4 linked regions of the Drosophila melanogaster genome follow. The protein of the gene in region 2 interacts with the protein of the main gene of each other region in a pairwise test. Each region holds a gene or a part of one and is shown on either strand. Other genes may lie near its edges.

What was found.
Region 1: the proteins of CG14840 (region 2) and CG13678 interact in a two-hybrid assay, tested with the Drosophila melanogaster proteins (one large-scale study listed by BioGRID).
Region 3: the proteins of CG14840 (region 2) and CG10508 interact in a two-hybrid assay, tested with the Drosophila melanogaster proteins (one large-scale study listed by BioGRID).
Region 4: the proteins of CG14840 (region 2) and CG8204 interact in a two-hybrid assay, tested with the Drosophila melanogaster proteins (one large-scale study listed by BioGRID).

What each region holds. Positions count from the first base shown.
Region 1 is NT_037436.4:8,220,227-8,223,500, forward strand, and holds CG13678 (uncharacterized protein), read left to right. Parts: upstream 1-1,914; 5' UTR 1,915-1,976; coding exon 1,977-1,988; intron 1,989-2,240; coding exon 2,241-2,615; 3' UTR 2,616-2,727; downstream 2,728-3,274.
Region 2 is NT_033777.3:14,259,708-14,263,007, forward strand, and holds CG14840 (uncharacterized protein), read right to left. Parts: upstream 1,507-3,300; 5' UTR 1,477-1,506; coding exon 574-1,476; 3' UTR 501-573; downstream 1-500. Other genes in the region: MetRS-m (Methionyl-tRNA synthetase, mitochondrial), read right to left, coding at 1-40, 107-200; CG14841 (uncharacterized protein), read right to left, coding at 1,813-2,520, 2,593-2,709; CG14839 (uncharacterized protein), read left to right, coding at 2,754-3,300.
Region 3 is NT_037436.4:21,208,583-21,216,263, reverse strand, and holds CG10508 (uncharacterized protein), read right to left. Parts: upstream 6,050-7,681; 5' UTR 5,534-6,049; coding exon 5,460-5,533; intron 4,215-5,459; coding exon 4,106-4,214; intron 4,038-4,105; coding exon 3,876-4,037; intron 3,483-3,875; coding exon 3,307-3,482; intron 3,136-3,306; coding exon 2,773-3,135; intron 2,503-2,772; exon of another isoform or gene 2,421-2,502; coding exon 2,167-2,420; intron 2,114-2,166; coding exon 1,888-2,113; intron 1,653-1,887; coding exon 1,152-1,652; coding exon of another isoform or gene 1,139-1,151; exon of another isoform or gene 950-1,138; intron 892-949; coding exon 763-891; intron 689-762; coding exon 481-688; 3' UTR 213-480; downstream 1-212. Other genes in the region: Trmt112 (tRNA methyltransferase subunit 11-2), read left to right, coding at 1-135; CG10510 (uncharacterized protein), read left to right, coding at 6,270-6,440, 6,591-7,466, 7,522-7,681.
Region 4 is NT_033778.4:15,572,598-15,575,783, forward strand, and holds CG8204 (uncharacterized protein), read right to left. Parts: upstream 1,395-3,186; 5' UTR 1,137-1,394; coding exon 1,069-1,136; intron 1,014-1,068; coding exon 853-1,013; intron 795-852; coding exon 592-794; 3' UTR 547-591; downstream 1-546. Other genes in the region: CG30466 (uncharacterized protein), read left to right, coding at 1-160, 216-329.

The sequences.
Region 1 (3,274 bases), on a different chromosome or scaffold from region 2:
TAATTCTGAGTAATTATAAAAAATTTTTTAACAGCCTATTAGAGTTGGTATAGCTGAGTAATGTTTTAATTTTAAACTTTTTACTTATTTTGGTTGAACGTTTTAGTTTAGTATAGACATAAAATTTTAGTAGTAACTTTTAATTAAAAAATACATATATGTTTAGTTAATTTAGTTCATAAGTTATGGATATCCTTGAAGTCGAGCTTGATGCGTTGCTCACTTCTTTTGGTTCCAAAGTCCTCGTCCCAAGCTTTGTCCATGTCAAACGGAGCGATTTTTGTGCGCGACTTTTTGTGGAAATTTCTTGCTTTTTAATTACTTGCCGGCACTCGTGGATACATATACATTATCCCCAGCTCCGACTCCGGGTGCTCTTGCCTTCTCCCAGGGGACTGCTCTTTGATATGCTCCCCGTTCGGGCCACTCGAAAGTTGTGGGCACTCGAGATGGCTGCCATTTGGGGGGCGGATGTGCCATCAAAGCTTTTAGGCGGATTAACCAATATAATAATTTCAGTAGCAAGTCCTCGCCGCAAACTTGACAATGAAAGCAGCCTGGTGGCCAGGAGGGAAGTCAAGTGTCAAAACAAATATGTTTGCCGCCTGCGGTTGCCGTTTGCTGTTCTCAATACATGCCCCGCTGCCAGCTGCATGATTGTGCATTTAGTAGACACCACATCCACATCCCCTTACTCCTCCACATCCACGAGGGAGCACATCCACGGATGGCAATAGGCTGGCTCGTATGCACAGGCACATGGCAAACACTTGAGCTGCACAAAAGGAGGCAAGGAAGTGGCAGGATGCGCGCCAAATCCTTCGCCTGCAACATCATCATCGAAAGCGGCTGAAAAGCAAACCCGAAGGAGAACGGCAACAATTTGCTGTAGTCGTCGAAAAGACCAACCAACTCTTGCAGCAAAATATATTTATATATACAACAAATCAAATATTGTTTATTTAACAAAATTTTTAGGAAAGTGGCCTCAAATAATATAATAGTAATATAGTTTTTATATATTAGAATAATATACATATGTAATTGCACATCATTTTTTCTGTGTGTATGTTGCCACACCCCCTGAAATTCACCGCCCATTTTGAGCGGTGCTTTATAGCCACCATCCACCAATCCATTGCGCTGCTGAAATCGCGTAATTGGCATTTTTAAGCAAAATTCACGCTTCAACACTTTTTCAAGTGTGAGCCTGGCGCAGCAGGAGCATCAGGATATGTGTTCCCGAACAGCCTGCAAGAAGTGGGTGAAGTTGGGTGGAGTTGGGTGGAGTGGCCTTTGTGGTGGTGCATCCTTGTGACGTACGCTTTACCACACACGGCGGCGGCCTGCACTCGATATTTCTAATTAGTGAGTTCTAAGCTCTTTGCCCGCAATTTGTGACATTTATTAATTAATTTCGGTTCTTCCAGCGGTGAGAGCGGATAATTAGACAGTGATTAGCCGGATTTATTGTGGTCTATTAAAATAGGCAAACAGGCGAATGGTAATGGAGCGGAATGACTTGATAATTTCCTGATATCGGCCCGGCATAACACTCATAAATCACTCGAACTTCAGCTACCTTTTCGTTGGCGGTTAAACCCGTAAGACCCATTAAATTGTAAGCCCATTGCAGTCGTCAAGGTCAGGGACAAATCGCCGAGTAACGGACGTTCAGGCACGCACCAAAAATAAGACATGGTCAGGTCTAGACCACGAAAACTAAAACGAAAAAATTGAAAGAAAAAAAAAAAACAAATTCAAAAACAGTAGCCAAGAATTGCGCATGCGCAACGTCAATCGAAAGTCGTTGACTTGGCAACCATCGATGGCTGATCTAAAAGCGTGATCTGCATTGGTAAATAGCTCGAAAAGTGTAAGTGGCTATAAAAGAGTCGTGCAGCTGGCTGTTGGACATCACAAACCAATTGGCCATCTACCAAGTGACAATCCAAAAAGAAAACCAATACATCAACATGTTCAAATTCGTAAGTACAGGAAAACTATTTAGAACGAAGTTTTGAAGGAGAAGGAAGCCTTTATAAACTAATATAAAAAGTATAACTGATATTTAAACAAAATATTGCAAAAGATAGTAGATATCTGAGAAAACCATTTTAAGTAACCTTATAAGAATGAGTTCCATTTGCAGAACTTAAATCATTTTAAATATTAATTTTTGTAGTAATTCTTTTAATATTACTTCACTTAACACTTACATTGAAACTTCCACCATTTAGGCTGCTATCTTCTTCGCTGTTGTGGCTGTGGCTGCTGCCAAGCCTGGAATTTTGGCTCCTCTGGCCGCCGCTCCTCTGGCCTACACCGCTCCGGCTGTGGTGGGCAGTGCCGCCTACGTGGCTCCCTACGCCTCCAGCTACACCGCCCACTCGGTGGCCCACAGCGCCGCCTTCCCAGCTTCCTATGCCGCTCCAGTTGCCGCCGCCTATACCGCTCCCATTGCTGCTCCTCTGGCTGCCGCCTACACCGCTCCCTACACCCGATTTGCCACGCCCTACGCCGCCGCCTACACCTCGCCCCTGGCCTACAGCTCGCCCTATGTGGCTCGTCCCTATGTCGCCGCTGCTGCCGCTCCTCTGCTGCTGAAGAAGTAAATCCATGGATTGTAAACCCTGCGGAAGATATTGCCCCATGAGCTTGGCTCATGGACTGGCATTTATTTTCCATGCAACCCCTACTTGTGATGCATTAAACCGTTTAGAATCTACATGTTATAATTGTTTTTCATTTATGGGTTTATAGCTTTCAAAAGTAATTAACTTTAGCAATCTTAAGGGTATCTCATTTATCAATCCATTATGAGTTCTAGTTACTACTTGCAAAGTACATATTTTAGCTGACTTCAAAACTATTCATATAACATGTGAGATTACAGTTTTATGGATTAGCATGCCAAGCACTGGCATTCGCATATTTAAATGCTCCATTAGCGAGCGGTTTTTTGCGGCCATTCAAGCTAAGCGTTCAATTATTGCTATATGTCGAGGCTGCGGATTGGGCCTGCATATAAATGAGCATGGAAGCCTCTTTCATCTGCGATGAAATTGTCGGGCTCCAGCCGCAGGCTTCAATGAGTTTGGATATGTACTCGTACGTAGTACGTACATCCTGAAGCCTGCGAAAACCGAAATTGCCGCAGCAACCGCAAGCCACCAAAATATGGGTTAGCATCCTTCATTCTCCGTTCTCCGTCCTCCATCCCCAATTCTCGAATTCCTCCGGCTCAAAGCCGAAAACACCCTCACCACCTCAA
Region 2 (3,300 bases):
TCGGCTATGACCGCTGAGTACAGGTGTCCAATGTGAGGAGCTATTTGTTAAAAATTATTTCTTTTTATTATCCGTAATATTGACTGATTTGGTCTAAAATGCTTACCTGCATTTACATAGAAAATTGGAGTTGTCACATAGTGCGAACTGTTGTAGCGAGTTCCCAAATATCTGAGGCACTTAATTCTTCTAATAAGCATCACTTTAAAAGCTATTTTAATATACAAATAAGTAAAAAAAAAAAACGTCTAAACAATTTGCCGGTTGATTTTATAACATTGAACAGCTGTGCCACCAGTGCTGCCCATCACTCGGCTAACAGTGCACGTAACAGTCTCATTTGACATAGATGCACACTTAACAGCGTAGACGCAAAATTTAACGGCTTAAAATTTTAAATTAAATTCAAAAGAATAAATCAAATATTTCCATGCAAATTAAACTTATTTAAATATATTTATTTAATACTAACAAAATTATCGTGAAACATTTTAATTTTTAGTTATAAAACCATTATCTTTTAATAGGAAACTTATTAAACCGAAATCGAAACGTAACAAAATATAGAAAAGATCAGTTGATCCCCGAATTCGGTGCTAGATTTTGGCTGCCTGCGCCGGAAAACTTTCCGGCCATCTTGCGCGGACCCCAGCGCACCTGCTGGCGGTGGGTCATTCGACGAGACCTCTGTGCCTTCTGCTTGGCCTCCACTGCAGCACAGGCCGCTTTGTAGGCCGCCTGCTTGGTCTTCTCGAAGTCCGTCTTGGCCTCGGTCATCTGGCGGGTTAGATTCTCCACCCGGTGCTTGGCAGCCTCCAGGAGCTGCGTCTTCTCGGCCAGCTCCTGCTGCGCTCCACTGGCCACGTTCTCGATATTGGCCAGATTGGACGTGGCGGCTATCACAAGGTTCTTCAGCTGATTGAGTTGCGATTGGGCCTCGTGGGCAGCCGATGCGGCGGCATTGGCATTCGCTTGGGTGTTTTGTAGGGACGAGGTCACCTCAGTGACAACCGCATCCGCCTCGGTCATCTCCTGCTGCAGCTGTTCAACAATCTGCTGCTTTCCGGCCAGTGCCGCCTCCGCCGCACGAGCGGATTGAGCTGCCTTGGCGGCCAGTTCGTTTTTGACCTGGGATGCAGCCGCCTCGGCAGCTGCCATCTGCGAATCGCTGGCTGCCTTGGCCTCCTGGGCGGCTTTTTGGGCAATGTTGGAGGCCTTCTGCTTGGGATCTCCGCGACCAAAGACGCCGGTTCCGCTGCTGCAGCCAACCCCTTTCTTCGAATTAGGTTCCCCACAGCCTTCGGATCCGCCTCCCAAACCGCCCGCCCCACCAGTTCCATCGATGCTGGCATCGCCGTACAATGCGGACAGGCATTGCTTGTCATTCGTTTCGGCGGGTCGGTAGTGGTAGCTCTCCAGTCGAGGGAACGCACGCAGCAGTAGCAGGACGAGGAGCAGCGCTTTCGTGCCAGGCATATTCCGATCAAATATTTGGAAACACTCGACGCTGACTCCATTCGGAAAGCCTGGTTTGACTGAAAAATTACCTTCTCTTAGCAAAAACAATTCGGAAAAACTACCTCGGATATTTGCCTTTCATTAATTTCATTGTTTAGATGGATACAACATATATGTATATCCTACATCCAGCAGCTATGAATAGTATTATGCATCTATTTAATTACATGCTCGCAGTATATTTTTTATTATATTGATATAATATATTATTTTTAAAAAAGTAGCATTATAAACTTTACAAAAATATATATATATGTATAAAATTTAAGTGATAATGGCTAATATTGATCGTTTCTAGCTTGAAGAGGATGCAGAGCTAATCGCCCTTTGCATCCTTTGAGCCTTTTGCTTGGCCTCCACTGCCGCACAAGCCGCCTTATAGGCAGCCTTCTTGGTCTTGTCGTAATCCTGCCTGGCAGCGACCACTTGTCTGGAGATGCTCTCCACTCTCCGATTGGCCGCCTCCAACAGCTGCCCCTTCTCATCCATCTCCAATTGGGCACCATTAGCGAAAGTTTCAATGTTGGTCATTTGAGCGGTGGCCTCAGCCAAAAGGACTTTCAGTTGGTCCAGCTGAATCTTGGCTTCGGAAAACGCTAACATGGCAGATTCTGCGTTCACCTGTGTGCTGTGGAGTGAGTTCTTAACCTCGTCCACAACGGCCACCGCCTCCTTTTCCTCCAGCTCCAGTTGCTCCATGATCTGTTGCTTGCCAGCAAGAGCTGCCTCCGCGGCTCGAGCAGCTTGGACCGCCTTCTCGGCCAGATCCTGTTTCACTTGGAGTGAGGCTGCCTCTCCGGCGGCCATCTGGGCGTCATTGGCCGCCTTGGCGTCCTGGGCGGCCTTAATTGCAATGCTGGAAGCCTTGCTCTTGGCATTCTTTTGGCTAAGGCCACAAGAATTTTGCACAGCAGAACTTGTTTCACACCCTTCCGATGATCCTCCACTTGCAGTCTGCTTCTTTTCGCTTGCTGGCTCATACAATCGAGCCACAACAGGATCCTTGTTCAATGGCGATGAGAAAACAAATTATAGACTAGGACTTTACCCACAGATTCGAGGGTTAGGACTCACCGAGTCGCTTATCATGATTATGTGGCTCCGCGAAACGCAAGCAAGGCTAAGCAGGAATAAGCACATTGCCTGGCAATAGAGCATAATCTCGATTTCCGGATTTGACAGGCATGGCATCTCCATCCGATTGACAGTCGGAAAAATGCTCGAGACAACGGAAAATGCGGATAGACACTCAGATCATGTGGCTAATAATTGTGTTATCCTCGCTCCCGGCATCCGCTACTGGCAATCATTATCGAACCCGCCGAAAGCCAATGCAGACGGAGGACTCAGACCTGATGAGGAGTTTCGCTGGTGGGCTCGGTGGCGGTGGTCCTGGTGATGGAACCGTGTGCGACATGTCAGGGGAGGATAGCAACTCGCCGGCAAAGAAGACGCGAAACCATACTAATGCCAAACAGCGATCCTCCGGAATCGCCGTCCAGGCGGCCAACGAGGCTAAAAAGGCAAACGATGATATGAAAAACGCCGTTAAGGAGGCCGCTGATAAAATCAAAGGTGAATACGCAGACAAGGCAAACGCTGCGGCCAAAGCTGCCGAAGCAGTGCTGTTCGGAAAGAGTCAGGTGCTGGAGCAATTGGAAGCGGAGGTCAGGGAGGCCGAAATGGTGGTGCAGGAGGAAAACCAGGAGCTGATCACCGCCGAGTCGAATGCACAGCTTGCCGCCAAGACGCACCAATTGGTCCAGCAGGAGCTCAAGACAC
Region 3 (7,681 bases), on a different chromosome or scaffold from region 2:
CTTTTGCAGAAGCTTCACCATCTGCTCTTCGAGATCGACGTGCTCGAGGGTCAACTGGAGTGCCCGGAGACAGGTCGTGTGTTTCCCATCAGCGATGGTATACCAAACATGCTCCTTAACGAGGACGAGGTCTAGATTACACCCATGTGCTTTTTGTACCATAATCCCCATAATCCCCTTTCTCCAGACGCGCATTAATATTAAATAAGTTTGTTAGTTTTAAAGTTTGTTTATTTACGAGTTACTAAAAACAATTGGAGCTTGGATGGAATGTGACTTCGTTTTTTTTTTTTTTTTTTTTTTTTTTTGTTGAGTCTACGTACTCGTGTGGTATTTGGTAGGTGTTTAAGGATAAGAGCAAAAAACACTACGACATATATAAATCGTAAGTCTGAACATGTGGAGGGTGGTGCTTGGCTACTAAGATTCATCTTCACTTCTTTGGCACTCTGGGGGAGGTTCCAGATGAGATACTCCCGCCTAGTTGCATTTGATGTTGGCGCTCTTGTTGCTGCCTTGGGCGTAGATGCTGCCCTTCGCCAATCCGGACTGGGGTCCTTTGCAGAGTTCCGATTTCCCACCCCTTGGCTTATAGGTGCGATCTGTGAGAAGACTAGCATTAGGTCCTTGAGTGATCTGCTTTTGAAGAAGCTTCGTGTTGGGTCCATTCCAGGTGACATAATCGGCTCTGAAAATAATTTTAATTATATTCATAGATGAGTCTTTGTTTTTATTACTTCGACATTAAGTTGAACTACTTACAGCAAAAGATTTTCATCTGCACCCTTGCTTAGCTGGGAATTGGGTCCCAAACTGGCCATTCGTTCGATAATAGATTGAAATTCAGCTGATTCCGAATTATGCGAATTTCCAAGGGAGTGCTGACGATGTCTGTTGAGAATTGGTTAAATTTGTATAAAAGTTCTTTTTATATTAAACTAAAATATTTCAAAGATTTAATATTTTATATTGAGCTTAAGGCATGCCGAAAGAATATAGTTAACAGGTTCAAAAATAATATCTCAAAAACGGATTTCCCGATACTATCCATGCGAACTCCTTGAAAAACTCATGCGCAAAACGATTGATTTTACTTAGCGAAACGGTAAAAAAACGGTTATCGGAACGGTTTTTGGTTTTAGCGGGCATACTTCAGTGAATCGGTTTTGGTGCGAGCACGACTTTCGAAAGCTGGCCTCCTCGCGATGGATGAGGAGTTGGACTGGGCCGACGAGACCAGCGATGAGGACGTCATTGATGCGGAGTAGGAGGAGTAGGAGCTAGCATTTGAGGAGCCATGCAGGTAGCCGTCGATGCTGTAGTTATTGGTATCGCTCTGGTGGCCAAAATGGTTATGGCCGCTCTTGGCCAAAATGCTCTTGGTGGTCAGGCGTTCGTAGCTTTGCTGGAAGATGCGGGGTGATTGTGGGGGTGAGGCATATGAATGCGATGAGGAAGCACTAGAGATGGATGACAGATGGGTCTCCAGCTTCATCTCCTCCGCTGTGGGCGTTGGTGTGGGCGTAGCCTGTGCCAAAATGATCTGGGTGGTGAACGTTGATGGAGTGGTGACATTGATCGATGGAAGAATGTGGCGCTTGTGCGGCGGCTTCGGCTTGGATGAAGTGGTGGGCTCCACCACGGCGGGCAGGCTGGATGATCAAGTGGCGCGAGGCAAGCGGATAGTGTTTTTTTGGTTCGGGGATTTAGTCAGAGGCGGAGGCAGCAAAGAAAGTTCACATAGAAAATAGGCAGTCGATTAAAAAACGGATAAAGCAGCGAGCCAAAGAGAGTAACTTGATTGAGTGGGTGGAAAAAGCGGGTGCCAACGACCTTGATCGGTTGGTTTTATTCGCGTGAGCGGGAAAACATAAAGTCAAGGGCTACCTGTCTTTTTCGTTGGCACCATCGATCTGCTCGGTTCCTGTGGTTTTCTTAAGATCCAGGTGCTTGGGATTCATGGGAGCCTGCTTTTGCTCCCTCTGCTCGTCCTCGTCCTGGACTATTTGTAGGATTTGCGTAGCCCTATCCTCTGCATAGTTGACGGATTCCAAAGCCATTAGGATAATGCGCTCGGCAATCTGTGGGTACTTCTCCTTAAGCAAAGTTTGCACTGTAAGTAAAAGATGTTTATTTAAGTGTTTTACGTGTACAATTAAAACCTACTTTTTGTCTTCTCTTCCTCTGTGTATTCCTTGGGTCTCAGCGGTATATGTACACCACTCTGATCCCCTCCAGCCTCCTGATCTTGATTTAGGTCCGGCGGGCGATTGTTGGGTCTGTGTGGCTGTTGCATATCTCTTTTTGTGTAGCCCAAAGAAATCAACTTTTCCGATGCGAACTGCACGTTGTTATCCGCATTTGCCAGGATATCCAGAAGCAGCTCTTCGTCCGCCTTGGGGAATATATTCTTCATGTATCTATGGTGGAATTTGGATATTATTTATCATCGAAGAAAATTTAAGTTAAAAGAATATTATGTTACAACATCGAGAATTTAAAAATTTGTCACTTAATATGTTACCTTGGATTATATAAAATAAATGTTTCAACAAAACATTAACAAAACACCAATTTAAAACCAACGAATTATATTAAAAGATACAGAACTTTTTATAAGTAACCCAAGCCTAATAACCCTTAATAGATTGTTACAAGCAAAAAATAAAAAACTGTAAAGTAAGAGATTAAATCCGATCTTTTGGTTAACACAGATTTTAAAGCAATCCAACAATGCTTTGAAATGTCCCTCGATTTTGAACCCCATCGAACCTCAGCTTCATCTTGGGCGACGAGTGCGGCCTGGGCGAGCTGCGCCACAGGGGCGATCCGTGCAGAGCCGGCGGAACAGCCGAGCTGGGAGGCAGAACAGCCTGATGGCCACTTGGACCACCAGGACCGCTCTGCACGCTCACGAGACTACCGAAGCGTCCGCCGGGCAGGGGACTGGCCGTGCGCGACGTGCGCCGACTAGCTACCGTGTCCGGCCGACGTGCCGGTGGCGTCATGTAGAAGGCGGAGCCGCTGTGGAAGAGGTGCCGCTGCGAAGGGGGCGTCACAAAGGGTCCGGGCATGGTAACCGGGTGCTTCTCCACCTGCAGCGCACTGACGACAACCGCCTCGCTATTGTAGTAGCTGGAGTGGTGGGTTAGTAAGCGTGGGATTAGCGTTTAGTCGTGGGGTTAGACAGGTGCAGTAAGCAGCAGAATTAGGCGGCGTGTGAGAAGACATAGATGTAAGTACGCAGATTAGTACGCCAGCTGAGCTGGCACGAGCGCTTAGCTGAAGTCGGGACCAATTTCTTACCGCTTGAGCAGGAGACGTATATGGTTCTCGCCAGCGGTGGGGAACATGTTCTGGATTTTGGTCACCACGGCATCCGTTTCCGCTTGCGTGGTGAACGAGGTCTCCTGAATGGTGGAGCGCCGCGAGAGATTCGGTCCCACGCGAGCTCGTTGAAAGGGCAGAGGTGAAGACATTTCCTGCGGGTTAGGTGGAAAATTAATTAATAAAAAATTCATTCAAACCAATTATCGATACTTAAACGCAAAGTAAGCAAGGGGCTTCGGATACTACTCATGGAATTTCATGTTTGTTAACTTAAAAAACATACAACTATTTCCTGAAGGTCTCAGCCTATTTGAATTATCTATTATTAGCCTCTTACAAGTATCTACAATCAGGATATCTTGTTGTAATCACTATATCAGAAGGTAATTGCGTATTTTTTGTGCGAAAGAACGACCTACTTATGCACATTTTTGATGATGCTCACAGATTTTTCGATGCGCACCCACACGTGATTTGCCTATTGATTGCCAACTATGGCTGTAGTTTCTCTATCAAAATCAATCTTCAGGTCATTTCATACTCACCAAGTGTCCCCTGGAGGAGGCCGACAACAATGGACTGGTAGAGATGTTGTGCAGCGTGGGTTGCTGGCGCTCCTGGAAGGCCCGAATTGCAGTCAAGTTGTTGCTGGGATGGACGTGGTACGGCGAGCTGTTGTGCGACGTCTGCGGCTGACTGACCAACTGCTGAAAAGTACAAGGGTTCCCATTCGAATAAAAAATCAATAAAATGCAGGGTAGGAAGCGGAGGTTACCTGCAAGGCTATCGACTCCGTGGAACAGCGTTCGTTCTGCAACTGCCTGTAACTGCGGCCGCGCGGATCCTCCAGCTGCATGGCCTTCGTCAGATAGTTTATGTAATAGCTGGAACGGGAAGAAGGGCAGCCGAATGGAAGATGAGCTTCTATCAAATCAAAGGTCAGCAAATGACCTCCCACCCAGGGCCATTCGAAAGCTCTTGGATTCAGGCCAAGGGTGGAGGCACATCCTAAAGCCGGCCGGTTGGTGGTGGACTGGATTGGAGTGGATTGGTTTGGGATTCTCCCCACATGTTGATGGTCCCTTGGGAGGACGGACAGGTAAAGGGTGAAGGAACCGCCTAAACCAAGGCACGTGCCAAGTAGCTGCCAAAAGGCGGACGCACAGTCGTCATTTTCATCGTCGTTTGACAGGCCATCTCTGCTCTGATTTTCGGAATGGAGAGGGTGGATGTCGACGAGGACGTCGTGAGGATGGAAAGCTCGTCTTCGGTTGAGTGGCCTCTTGAATTAACGTATGACAACGTATGTTGCTTAATTGCACATGGCTTTTTAAGCATAAGGGGTTAAGTTATATGTATATATGTATGATAGGCTAAGGAGATGTTAAAGACCCCGCTGGCATCCGACGACGCGGAAGTGACACAATTTATGCCGCTGAAACGAGGCCAATTGGAGTGGCTAAGGAGCACTAAGCTAAGTAGCCCATAGGGAACCACATGGTACCCACACGCTGGGTCTTTAGAGTTCAGTAAAATTGTTTTGCGTATCAGTAATAATAATTTAAATTTAAATTAAAACATTTTCTTCAAACATAAAACATTTTGAAAATTTTATGTTAGAAAGTTCTTTCGATTATAAGCTGAAGAAAAGTTAGCCAATATCCAATCCAAGCTTGTACTTCGTTCCATTGTGTGTTAAATGAATAATTTAAATTAGTACCGAGCTTGCGTCCTAAGAGTTTAAATACCAAAGGTGTTTCAAAACTAAGTTCTGCAAGCCACCGAACTAACGAATAATTTCCTTATCACTATAAGGCCAAACATGGCAAACACCACCTCAACCGGACGCCTACCACCCAATCATTTTAAAGTAAGCGACTTACGCCCCCAAGGCCCCCTACATACACCCACAACCACACACCCAACCATAATCCTTCGCCCACCGAAAGAGCCACCCCAAGCGACGTTGGCACGCAAATTTATCAGTTGCCCCCGTGGCAACCTATCAAATGGAACCCCTATATCCCACAACTGGCCACCACATCTCCCAGTACAGTCCGCATTTCACGACATTGTGGTTAATGGATGCATAAATATTTATGACGTCGGGCTGTGCACATGCAACTCACCAATTTCCAGTTGCTTGATCGTATTTGCAGTCCCAGCCGGGCGGCATTTTCTGATAGCCACCGGATTCGCTCATTTTCACCGCTCACGAATAGATACAGATGCAGATACAGTAACAATTGCACTTGCAGATGCGAGGCGCTTCGATGCCCAGTTAAACCGAACGACCGTCGTTTTATTATTTTCGTTTTCTGCCTGAATGTTTATGGACGTTTAAAGTCGCATTCGCAGCTTGTTTGCCGACTGTCTGCAACCCCGAAAAGTTGGCAGGCAGGAGTGCCCTTGCCACTTATCCTGCGCGGAGCTTTGTAGTTGCCTTTGTCGTCGGATGTTTCAGATTTGGGGGTTGTAACCACCCTCGATGGCAACCTCTCCTCGGCAGCAGAGTTATTTTTGTTTACAAGGCACTGCCTGCCGGGAAAAAGGACCGCAACACACAGATACACACGCTCACACACACACAGTTCGATGTGGCGTGCCGTTAGTAAGCAAGCCAGCCAGGCTTTAGCTACCCGGAAAGGAATCGTTTTTGGGGAATCCTGGAGTCGCGACGCTATAAACAACCTCGCGAGCCAAGCTTTGAGAGTCAACTGAGGAAATCAGTGGCGGGCGTTAAAGCTTCAGATGCTGTGCGAATAGTCGTTAAAAAAGCTGGTATCCAGTGTTGGAATTTGCCCGTCGAAAGCTGTGCGCCAAACTTCGATTCAGCTTTCAAACAGGCACACAATTCGAATTTAGCTCCCCCGTCAATTTTCCAAAAATTTCACCTTTGATTTACGCATTTAGTTCAGCTACAACTACACATCGGCAAAATGGCCGAAATCTTGGCACGCTTGACGCGTGTTTCGGAAAACTACCTCCAAGAACTGGAGGAGGAGCCGGAGCCACAAGGACCGCCCAAACTAACCAAGGCTCAGAAGAAGGCCGCCAAGAAAGAGGCCAAGCGACTGGCTATGATCGAGGAGAAGCGGCTCATCATGCGGGTGGGTTCAACTAACTTTCGCAGAGTTTTTATTAAGGATGAACCTAAGCAAATCCTTAATATTATTAATTTTTATAATAAAAATAATATATTAAGACTATATTAAAATTGTAAACGCATCATTTCTAATGTTGCGCCATGATCCTCTCAGGATGCCCTGATGCGCGAGCTGGAGATGGGCAAGCATATGGAGGAGAAAGGCAACGAGGAGTGGCACGAGATGTGCCGCGAAATCAAGATCAAGGAGCTAAACGAGGAGATGAGGGCTTGGGGCGAGCGCTCGGAACGTAACATTCAGGCCAAGAACGACCACATCAAGATGCTTCTGGACGACATGGCGCAGACGCAGGATCAGCACGTGCGTTGCTACAGCAAAACGGTGGAGCTGATTGATCACATTCGCGACTGCTTCCACGTGATGTTGGGCGGGGTGAAGAGCATGTATGACCAGCAGGCTGACGAGATGCTGAGGGATTACTATGAAGAGGTGCGCCGGCGCACCGAAGAGGTGGAAGCCATGAAAACGAACTCCGAGAACATAATCCATGCCACCAACATCACCACCCGGGATCAGCTGAAGGAGGATTACACTATCTACCTGGAGCAGCGCGACGATCGCGTGAATACGGAGATTGAGAACAGATTTAAGATTCGAGATCAGATTGTCCGCCGGATGACGCACATGCAGCAGCAACTGAACGACTTCGTGGAGTCGCTGAGGAGCACCGAACTGGATGCCCACAAGTACGAGAAGATCCACTGGCTGACGGAGCGGCAGGCGGCTTTCATGGAGGAGTCACGCAAGCTAAACGCCGAGGAGTCCAAGTACATCAACATGCAGGCGGAACTGCAGCGCGAAATGGTTCGCATGGATGCGGAGAACAACTCCACGCTCAACGATCTTCGCCTGGAGTTCCAGTACTTCACCAACGTGCGCAAGAAGATTGAGCTCAACCAGGAGATGGATCGCGAGATCACGCACGAGAAGTTGCGCATCCTGACCGGCGAGTGCTACGAGTTGACCAAGGTGAACCTTTGTCCCAAGCCCTATTACCCATTTCTAAATTGAAATATTATTCCAGCAAATGGAGAAGCACGTGAAAAGTGGGGAATTACTCTTGGCCCTGTCGATCACTTGCAGGAAACTGCAAACCGAATCGGAAAAGGTAATCCTCGGCGGCGAGGTATTCGACGAAACCGAGGTGGATGTCGATGAATACTTCAAGCTGCAGACTCTCAACC
Region 4 (3,186 bases), on a different chromosome or scaffold from region 2:
TACCTTAATACAAAACCTAAACACACACGAGGTCCTGGGTATATACCATTGCACCTTCGGATTTAAGGAGTTCACATTCGATGCGAAGAAACTGGGAGAAAACCGTACCACAGCACTTAATATTTATGTGGAACTAAACACGTATCTCATGTCTAATGAGGTCTAAGTATTTCACAACTTATATTAGCTTTCGTTTCTAATATTTTTCATTACAGGATCCCATCCCCATGACCTGGAAAGTGCAAGGGGAACATAGGCTTTTCAAGTTGCACATGAAGCATCCAAAAATCACTTTTAACTCGGATCCAGTTTCAATTTACTTTGATTGAGTTTGATTGCCAAGGAACGAAGCTGTAGACTGATGACTAGTTTGATATGCCAGCTGAGATAGATAACTTTAAATGGCCGAGCCAAATAATTAGTTGTACGTTTTCCCTGGTTATGGAAAAGATTCAACCTTACCGGCGGATTTCAATGAGAAGTTTCCAGGAGTTCTTCAATGCAAGCTCCTCTAGAAGCTGCCAAGGATTGACAGTACTATTAGTTACAAAATAAAGGCTTAGTTTTATTGAGACTGTGTGTCAACTTAATTCAGGAGTACAACTCAAATTCAGTGCGCTCAGCATCCGTCATCGGTTCGACGACTTGAAGGCAGGCATTAGCGAACTCCACGAAGAGTGGCTCCTGCATGGCGGCCATCATGGCCGACTGGGCATTGATGGCCACATCAATCTGCTGGAGCAGCGAACGCAGGTGTGGATTGTGGAGCAAATTACGCAGTTCCTGGCAGTTTTCTGTACGGAAACCATCATACTATGAGAAATGTGTATAATTGCGAATTTAAACACCTACCTAGTTGCTGGAGCTTCTCCGCGGCAACTGTGTCGTCGGTGGGGAAGGGCACATGAAGCGTAGGTTCCTCCTGGTAGCCAACTTCAGTCTTTTTCAAGTCGGACTCCCTTGTCGCACATTGGGGCGAATCCCTGTGTGTCTTATAACAAGCCACAGAGCAGCTACATTTTGCGACATTTATTATCTCCGTAGTGAACTGTTCGAATAGCTACTTACTAGGGTGCCGAGCATTTGCTGCACTTGTATTTTCTCAAGTTATCTACGCAAATAATGCATTTTTCCATCTCATCAAATTCAATGTCGCGTGCAAAATAAAACTCAGCTGTGCGAGTTTTATAGCCTCCAGCTTTTGCCTCTATCGAGGGTTCCAAGCCGTTTCTGCTCCACTGGAACGGCGTTATGTTTTTGGAGGTAAACAATCAAAAAGTTAAATGCAAAACGCAAGCAGAATAATATTAAAATGCGCATAAGATCGCGGGGCTGCATGTTAATTTAGTGAGAAAACAAAACTAGTGGAGTTCTACGACGAGTGTGTTGAAACGAATCCCATAGCTTAGTTAGATTGTTCTGTAGCTGCCAGCCTTCGTCAACAGATGAATTCTATCTTTGGCGCCATTACTTTTAATTTGAATTTGAACAATTTGCTGGAACAAATAAAATGTTCATCATCAACATTCAATTTTGCTCATCATAAATAAGTAAATACTTTATATAGTCAGAAAGCTTCAATCTACTGTATCTGTATCTCACTGACTTACATATTGAAAACGTTTAAAGATTATCCACAGGTATTTTAGTTATTAACCATACGATTAGCGGAGTGTTTGGTCAGATTGAGGAAGACATAGAGTCGTCCTGCCCTTTTCCGGTTACGAATAGCCTTATTTGATTGAATGTATCCTGTGTATCCGGTCTGTTTGCTTTGGCCAGTCTCATTTATGGGCCATCCCGGGCACGTCATCTTCCGTGAGGCTTCCGAGCAAACAAACGAGGAACGCTTATCATTGCCCTCCCATTTTTCCGCCCCAAAGCCTCCCAATCCTTTCCCCCCGCCGCCGATGGCAATGCGCAGTCTGAAGCCACCTGGCGAATTAACCGAGAATTCGACAAGCGCGAGGGGAGCAATCAAATGACGGTCGGCGTGTCCGCAAATTGTAAACATATCCTGCACACGGAACGTACTGAAACGGAACGGTCCTTCCCGGGAAGGAGTCGTTCAGATCCGCTCCAGCTCCAAAGACAAGTACAGTACAACCAGAAGTAAAAATAAGTACAACAGTGAGGCTCGATTGGTTAACCGAAGCATGGAATGCCCTTTGTTATTAAGCTTTCTTTCTAATGAAAACGTGTTATGTGTATGCACAATATATAGTCCTAAAAAGTAGGTTTAGTTGCAAGAGAAACATCTCATTTATATGGCCATATTCAGCTATGAAATATACACATATAGATGTGTGTCATTAAGATTTGATAATAATGATAGTCCTATAGGTAATGTCATTGGGTTATAACTTCTTACAGTCCTGTATACGATAACTACACCCATTGAGATCCTTCGTGTCCTGCTCCTAGTCTGAGCCGTAATAACCTCTGCGAGGGTATGGCAAACAGCGAAAAACTTTTGGTGGCAATAAATGACTTCAATGACTGACTGACTGACCGGATGGGGTGGTCTAGGTGCATGGCTATACTCGTATATGAATCGTTTTTTTTCTTCTTGTTTCTGTTGCCATATTTTGGGGGACTTGTAGCCGGGACTGGTTGTTGTTATTTTCAATCGTTTTTGCTTTGTTTTCTGAGCGCTACCAATTGGATTGCACAAAGAAAAACGAGTGGTACAAAAGAAAGCAAAGGATGCAGGCTAACAAAGAGTTTGGGGATGTGGAAGGTCTGGGGAATCGGGCCGGGTAACATGATGTGGCGCCTCTGCCGCTTCCGCTGTTCGTGAGGCACAAGCGCGATAATTGCCAGCGTTATCCGCTCGGCCTGCCAGTCAAATAGGCGCAGCAGCAGAGGCGCTGGCAAGCAGCGGCTATCGGCGGTGGCAGGGATTTCGGGGGGGCAGGAAGACCCTTCGTGTGACTCGCCTACTTTTGATTTACAACATTCGTGCAACATCAGCAGCAGTGTATCGCCAAAAGGAAAAGGGGCGACCAATGCAAACAGCAAGAAGAAAAGCGAGACACACGCCACCAAATGGGGCGAAAGTTTCTCGCGGGGTGCAGTAGTGGCATTTTCCGAGGGCAGGTGTCGTTCGTTAGGAGTTTTCAGCGTTTTTCATTCCCAGCTTTTCCCAGTTACCAAATACCAACTACCAACTACCAACTACCAGTT